Nothobranchius furzeri: one gene and its partner. The protein of the gene in region 1 purifies or fractionates together with the protein of each later gene. This does not show direct contact. Links are inferred from orthologs where the notes say so. Each region holds a gene or a part of one and is shown in the gene's direction. Other genes may lie near its edges.

Region 1 (3,822 bases):
GCTATTTGATCTGCGTATGGCCGAGGGGAAGAAGCTGTTGGTGAGCCTAGTGGTGTGCCATCTGATTGACCTGTAGCACCGTCCCAAGGTCCATTTCCTTCATTAGCTGCCAATAGAAAATAGATGGGAAAACTCGGGTTAGAAAAGCCTGACGTTTCCACGTCAGACTGTAAATTTGCATTTTGGCTCATGACAGGGAAGGCTATTGTTGGTTTACCGTCCAGCAGAGCACATCTCAGCTAGTAGAAGCTAATCGTCAGCATTAGCAACTCCACCACACTGCAGAACTACATCAGCCTTGTGTTGTTTGTGGAGATAAAACAACCTCGCAGATCAGAGCCATTGGTAGAGTCCCGTTGCTGTTAGCCAATCAGAGATGAGATGTCTGAATCTAATCCATCCAACTAACTTCTAGTTCCTGAAACAGGAGTGCCATGGTAAACAAAGCCTTGCTCTGCTAACGGCTTCTAAAATGGAAGAATTTGGAAAGTGTCTTGCTGGACTGATGCAGTGTTTGTGAAAACACGCTAGCCTTTTCTCTTAACTTGTAAAAATAAACAAAACTTCCTGAAATCTATGAGGTCCGTGACACAGACATTTGTCAGAGATCATCTCTGCTGCTGTTGCTGCTGCTGGCAGGCAGTGTTTTTTTTTGTTGATCTTTACACCAGAGGCTTTACAAAATCAAGGTAAGCTAAAATCTTAATATTCTGCTAGTATCACTGTCATATGACCAAAACAGTTACATGCAATAACAACAGCCCCATCCGCCTGAAACACACACATTCGGCAGCAGTTTTACTTCTCGGATCGATACAGACATGTTTAACGATGACTAATATCGGCCGATATAGATATTGTTGCTGATATATCGTGTATACCTAATTACATCTTAGCTTTGAGTTCTACAGATATTGAGTCTTTGAAACGGTTTTGTTGATCTTTTTAAGATAAGCTGATTACAGTTTAAATCGGAGGTGGAAATGCATAACTGTAAGAATGAAATTTGATCTGGTCCAGTTGGTTATGATTCCTATGTAAGTTTCACATATGAAGCAGTGTGCAGAAGACATGGAACTAAAGCTGCAGGGGAACAAGCAGTCGTTGGTTTATTCTGGTATCAAGAACATCATCAGAACCAGCTCCGGTAGGAAAATAAATGGAGAAATGATTTCCAGAACATTCTTGTTGCTTGTTATTAGGTTGAGTTTTCTGTTGTCTTCCTTGTGCGTTAAGGCACCACAGAGAGCCGCCGCTGCTGGATCGGCTCGGACCGGCAGACAGACGTGCCGCGCTTTAGCAGTGAGGAGCGCTGCCTCGCCCTGCGGCTCTGTGGCTGGATCAGCCGGGGTCCTGACATCGACGTGGAGACCTTCCTGCGATCGCTGGAGCAGGAACGCGAGTGGGAGCGGGCGGCTGCCATTGCTCTGTTCAACCTGGACATCCGCCGGGCCATCCAGATCCTCAACAAGGGAGCCACTATGGAGAAGGGTGAGGGAAAGCTGGTCGGATTCGTCTCGTTTTCCTGTAAACCATCATCCTGGTCCAGGAGCAAACAGCATAATTAAAAATCTTAGAGATTCAAAGACGAAAGCCGTCTGCTTTATATGTCTGATGGTCCTCGGTACCCGGATATGAACGAAAACTAATAAAGTACCGTTGGAGGAAAAAAACAGAGCAAGCCAGCTTTCTAAAGCATTTTAAACACCGACAAGTCCAAAGTGCTGCACACTAACAGCAGTCACATAATACAACATAAAATCAGAAAGACTTAAAATCAATAAAATAATAAAAACAATAATATATTCAGGCAAGATAAAAATTAATGGTGGAACAATTGGTAGCAGGAGGTCACAGGTTCCATCCCCAGCTGTGAGCATGTTCTTTTCACGCTCCGATTTCCTCCCACAGACCAAAAACATGCATGTTGGGTTTATTGATGCTCTGCAGGTGACTACCATATAAATAAACATAAACATAATTAAAGGCATTCAGTGCTTAAAGTAACACTAAATATTTTTTTAAACTTTAAGCTAGAGCTTTAACTGATTGTTGGGTTAGTAACTCGACAAGTTCCATTATGTGACACCACTCTGCAGCCCTCTACTGGTCAGATACAGCACTTAACAGATTTGTGGAATAGGTGGGTGTCCTAGGGGGCGCTCTTAAATCTGCGTTATGGCTGTTAGCTATTTTCTGGGCAAGTTTGATCTTCTGTTGGCATCATGGCGGCGCTGGAAGTAAAAGCAAGAGAGTAATGTCTTTGGAGGTGAAGCAAAGAGCTAAAACCGGAGTAAACATCGGCGTGGCCTACACTAGTTTTAAGGAAGCTAAAAAAAGGCTGTGAAATAACAGGCTGATGGTGACCTAGCTTTGTTACTACAAGACTTGTAAATAATAATATTTTCTGTCCAACAGTGTGGATCTTTTTGATTTGTGGCTTATTTAGTAAGACATGGCTCATGTCAGTGTTGGCTTGTTGCTAGCGCTAGCTACAGCAGACTGGTGCAGGGATGTTGTAATTCCACTTTCAACCAGTAAGGCAGAGGAGCAGGAAACTGCTCAGTGTTACTTTAAGATAAAAATTTTCTGAAATTAGGACACATTATAAATCAAACTTTTTATCTAGAAAACAAATGCAAAGAAAAACAAAACATTTTACGTTCATTATTGGTATTTTTGAGAAAACTTGGAATTGCAGGTCAAAGATCATTTATTACTGAAGTTAGGTGAAGACCAAGATGGAGAGGCTTTGTAAGTGTTACAAACTTTTCTCCTAAACATTTTAACTGGAATGTTTTTCTATCCAATAATCTTCAAACATGTTTTTGGTTCAGAAACCCAAATCTGTGCTCTCCAGCACAACCATCGTTTCTCCTTTAATAAAATGTTCCTTTAAAATAAGGAAGGCTTTGTTTTTTGTTGGTAATTGTGTTAGGATGGAAACATCTGAATGATTTTTGCCCCGTTCTAATGGAGGTGGTCCCACCTCCTGGTGGGAAAATCCAACCACCAACGAGTGCCGCTACCTAGCAACCAGTGTTTTCATGTGCTTGTGAGGGTGTTCGGAAACATGGACGTAATCTATGGATTTTAAATGAATCTAGACACAAAGCATCATCTCTAGAGCTAATGAAATAAAATTCCTTGAGGAAAAACAATGGAATTTGAAAAATGTGACAGCAAAAGGCTCGTGTTTTCTCACACTGCAAAGTTGTCACACTCAAGTTAAACGAAAATGGAGAGAGAGAATGCTGATGTTTACACACGTGTGACCTAGAAAATGTCACCAATGTGGGTTGAGCGTTTTTCTGTTGTGTGTTCTAATGAGAGTTTCCTGAGCATGACTGATGCAGTCATTCATTAGATAAAGTGTGTAAACACCTCATCTGGAACCATGCTTTTACTCTGAAAAGCTACATGCAGCCTTATGTAATAATACAGATAATCACTCATCAGTTGAAGAGCATAGGTAAGCTCACATCTCAAAGGGTTATAAATACTATAAAAATACATGCATAAAATATTTAAATTTGTGACTAAACACTTCAACCAGTGCTTCCTCAGAATGGAGTGAAACAGGAAACGTTTGCTATCAGATCGGAGCGCTACAATTATGCTGTTTCTCAAGCCACCCAGACTGTCTCTAAAAGTAAATATTAACTTTCTTGCTGTAAAGTGAAAACACCCAACTGGCACTGTCCCCTTTAGGGGTCCCACAGAAAATCCCAGAATGCTCTGAAGACGTTCACTCAAAAACAAAAGTGGTTCTTTTTTTAATTCAATTTTGCTGAAATGCAAAACCTAAATAAAGAAGCAGCT
Region 2 (4,279 bases), on another chromosome or scaffold:
AACGATCTGACAAAGTACTCATTTGAAAATTGCACTCCAAGGGATTTTTGACCCTAATGGCCTTCCGTTTATATGGTCTTACTCGAACACAAAAATAGTGCTTGCTTGCAATGATTTAGGTATGTACTGCCCACTATCGCCAGGGAAAATACACACCCCAAAAAACTATTTCATAACTTCAAGATCTTTGAAATATCCTCATTAGCTCGCCAGAGCGATACCATTATCGGAAAAAGGAACTGGCCCAAAAATCGGAATTGGTGCAGCTCACATGTGAATGGATGATGATGCTACTTTGTTGTTACTTTTCAGTACTTCATGTGGAGTTTCAGCACAACCATAAGAGTTTATCTTCTATTAGTCAGACATGAAACAGCTTGTATAGTCGACATAATCCAATAATGCAAGATGCATGCAGTTATTTTTAACATAAGCAATTTAGCAGACTAAAAACATTGTCCTCGTTTTCACGTGCAGTTACCTTTGGTCCACCACTCCCCCTGACTCCAAAACATCTGTAGCTTGTATTCAGCAATCTTGTCCACATCGTTTTAAACAAAATAAGAACTTTTATTCATTCACCTACAGCTCAGTTAAGCTCAACTCTGTCCCTCTTCTACTCACAGGAGCTGTATTACAGAACGCGTAAATAATTCCTTCATTCTCCTGGACAATTTTGCGCGACTGCATAGGAAATATGATAATTTGTAGGAAACAAATAACACTGATTGACTGAGCAGGTCGCGTGCATTGAAAATCGTTTCGAAGGTCACGTGACTCAGAAATGTTTCCGCATCCGGCGCAGTTGCGCAATATGCGCAAGACGGCGTTTGCTTTGGAACTGTTGTAAATTTAAAATGTTGCTGCAGTATTATGATACACAATTGTAATAACATGCCGTAGCACGGAGACTTGGACATTTAAACATGTGTTTTAATGACAAAACACACACACACACACAATGAATGTGAATGGTTCACGGTAAATAGAGCTGTAAACTATCATTTATTCGTGTTCGCGTATCTAAATTCACATTTTAAAGTTATTTTTAGTCAGAATGTAATTTTTACAACAAGTTTTTTATCAAAATGATGATTTCATGGACTGAACGTCAATCTTATAAAACAAAAAAACTGTATTCAAGCTATATTTGTTGCAAACACGAGAAGCTGCAGCTTCCGTACAGTCCGTGAATGCAGCATTGTTGTTGTCCTCCATATCTGTTTGAGTAGCTCATTCAAGCAGCTCAAAGTCTCACTTCATAACATTTTCACCAGTGCAAGTACGCTTTTAACTAAATATTCACATTAATTGTTTCCTATTCCGTGCGGTAGTTTTTAAAAATAATTCAAAAGGCTCGCATTTGCTTCTTTTTCGACGTAAAAGCTAACAGCTAGCTTGTTCTGTTGTAGTTAAAGAGGAGAGGAGGCTGTCTCTCTGACAGCATTCAGGTGAAGTTATTTTTAACAACCACATTTAAAACCCTGGTTGGAGCTTATCACAGACATGGCCACTCGAATAGAGTGTATATTTTTTAGTGAGTTTCATCCTACTCTGGGCCCAAAGATAACCTACCAGGTAAGTAAACATGCTTGTTATAGTAGAAATCAAAGTTAATCTTTGCTTTCTTCCTGCGTCTGAGTACTAATCTTCTATTTGATTGTTATTGGTCTGACCCATATTGTGAGTTTCTTGTGTTATTTATTATATCGTGCTAAACAATCTACTTTATATGACTTTGTTCTTTCCCCTTACTTATATTTTGACAGGTTCCAGAGGAATACATTTCAAGAGAGTTATTTGATACTGTTCAAGTCTACATTATCACCAAACCAGAACTACAAAACAAATTAATTACAGTGTATGTAATCCATGCTTGTTAAGTTGATATTTTTTAAAGTCAAACTTCTGACACAATTTTTTTATTTTTTATAGGACTGCGATGGATAAAAAGCTGATTGGCTGCCCGGTGTGCATCGAGCATAAAAAGTATAGTCGAAATGCCCTTCTGTTTAACCTCGGTTTTGTTTGTGATGCTCAGACCAACACGTGCGCTCTTGAACCAATCGTCAAGAAGCTGTCTGGGTACCTCACAACTCTGGAGGTAATGTGCAATGCGTTCTGGGATTGCTTTTTCTTTCTTTTCCAGTGAGACATCTAAGAGGTGATGCTCATGTTTTTTTCTGCATTTTGTTGCAGTTGGAAAGTGGATTCATATCAAAAGAAGAGAGTAAGCATAAACTCATACCCATCATGTCGACCCTGCTAGAGGACCTTAACGCCACAGGAGCCTGCACCTTACCGATTGGTATTGTTTTCTATTTTGTTCTGTAGATTTAATTATGAACACAAACCAAGCAAAATTTACTTCCTCAATTGTGTGTTGTGTGTTACAAAACATGTGATGTAAAGCGGGTCCATGGTGTCTTCAGGTTTGAGCTAACACGTCTGAAAACAGTGTCTCAAACAATCACCACATCTGCCTCTGCTTTAATATTGTGGAACAATTAGCGTTGATATGACTCAAATGAACTGCTGTAGTGCTGTTACAAATGAAATTCTCATTTAGACTTATATTAATTTACAAACGTGGCTCCAGATCCGATATTGAATTGAGTCAAGCTCTTGGGCTTGCTTACAGGTAAACCATAACTTAAAGGGACTTTATGGACTTTTGAATTTTTATACTCGCGATTGCCCCCTCAGGCCAAACGCGTAATGGCAGCTTCAATAGTAGGCTCTTGCACGAGGCACGCATGCTGTACGTGCACACTCCTTAACAAAAATAACAGCTGAGATAGTCCCTTGTGTGTGTGTGTGTGTGTGTGTGTGTGTGTGTGTGTGTGTGTGTGTGTGTGTGTGTGTGTGTGTGTGCGCGTGTGTGTGTGTGTGTGTGTGTGGCCCAGAGGACAGGAGAATGCACAGCTAATTAATTAAATAATTTGGTTCTGTACCTTTCTCTTCAGCACAGTCGACAAAGGTTTATGATGGGTCAGTCCTCCTGCATGCTCAGATCATTCCCTTCCCTTGCTTGAAAAATTGTTCCAAAATGAAAGTTGAACCCACATCTTTTTTATCTGTGAATTCAATGCCGTTCGGCGAGTCTCAAATACAAATTTGGGCATCTTACTGCAAAAAAATATAACATTAATGTGAAAAAAAAACTAAATAAACTATGTTCACACCCAGAATCGAACCCTGGTCTTCTGCATGAGAGTCAGACACCTTACAAGGTGAGCTACACACCAGTAACATTCATAGTATCTGTAACTTTTATATCCTTAATAACACCTGAAACAACGTCAAACCAAAGAACGGTTCAGAGCGAAAATGGCTATTTTGTTGCTAATTTGCAGGAAATATCTAGAAGAAAGTTCTAAAGAAAGTACAGTAGCTAAGGGTCCTCAGAAATGTAGCTAGGTCCGTCACTAGGCATTAGGAACAGCGACAAAGTCGCTGAGTTGGCACTGCTGCTAAAGCTACGGATAGCAAATGCTACGGGCTATGCCTGAGCGTGAACGTGCATGAAGCAGCCTGCTCGACCCGAGCAGCTCTCTTTTTCTGTGATTTTACAGAAAAACAGGCAATCAGGCTCTTTCTACAGGACCAGGACACTGCAGGAGAATGTATGAAGAAGAAATTTATTATTTCTATACATGTTTTGGTTGTCAAACTTCCATAATGCCCCTTTAAAGCCCAAATGTGTGTAACAACATTCAACTCCTTAGCGCCACGCAGTTCAGAGTGGGTATTGCAGCTACAGTAGACCACGCACGTCAAAAAGGCAATGTAGAAACCACCACACACCAGCTTTCAACTGCCTGCATGTTTTATTTAATGTTTCTCCAGCTTCGTGCAATCAGCGTCTCTCTCAGGTATTAGAGAGCTCTCTCTTAGTGACCTGTGAATATATGTAGAACGGGTCTGGTCAGTCATTAGCAGCTGCTGTGTTCTCGCTCCAGTGCTGCAGCAACAACAGTGTCTGCCATGTTACTCTTCTCCCTCAACACCGCGGTTGTGCACACACCACCACAGTTTTAAACAACTTCCAGCTTTCAATCCAGCAATCACATGTAGCAGATCAAGCAACCCAAGGGGAATGAGCAGAATTTCCCCTAACCAGTAAGGCTGCCATAGAGAGAACAGGTGTCACTCCCACATAACATTTAGAGGGAGGAGAACTTTCCTGTCAAAGTGCAAATGCGACACGAGGAGCATTATATCTTAAATGTCCCTAAACAGCTATGGTATTTCTAGATGGTGCATGATTATGGAGCGT

Evidence for each region.
Region 2: the proteins of mios (region 1) and nprl2 purify together in Homo sapiens (affinity purification with western blotting; 3 studies listed by BioGRID and IntAct, with this or other methods). This does not show direct contact. The link is inferred for Nothobranchius furzeri from reciprocal best matches to the Homo sapiens genes MIOS and NPRL2.

Annotation. Positions count from the first base shown.
Region 1 is NC_091745.1:63,841,053-63,844,874, forward strand, and holds part of mios (GATOR2 complex protein MIOS), read left to right. Parts: intron 1-1,048; coding exon 1,049-1,147; intron 1,148-1,236; coding exon 1,237-1,491; intron 1,492-3,822. UniProt on the Homo sapiens protein: As a component of the GATOR2 complex, functions as an activator of the amino acid-sensing branch of the mTORC1 signaling pathway. The GATOR2 complex indirectly activates mTORC1 through the inhibition of the GATOR1 subcomplex.
Region 2 is NC_091743.1:64,714,830-64,719,108, forward strand, and holds the start of nprl2 (GATOR1 complex protein NPRL2), read left to right. Parts: upstream 1-1,188; 5' UTR 1,189-1,506; coding exon 1,507-1,578; intron 1,579-1,769; coding exon 1,770-1,861; intron 1,862-1,935; coding exon 1,936-2,104; intron 2,105-2,199; coding exon 2,200-2,308; intron 2,309-4,279. Other genes in the region: hemk1 (MTRF1L release factor glutamine methyltransferase), read right to left, coding at 482-547. UniProt on the Homo sapiens protein: Catalytic component of the GATOR1 complex, a multiprotein complex that functions as an inhibitor of the amino acid-sensing branch of the mTORC1 pathway.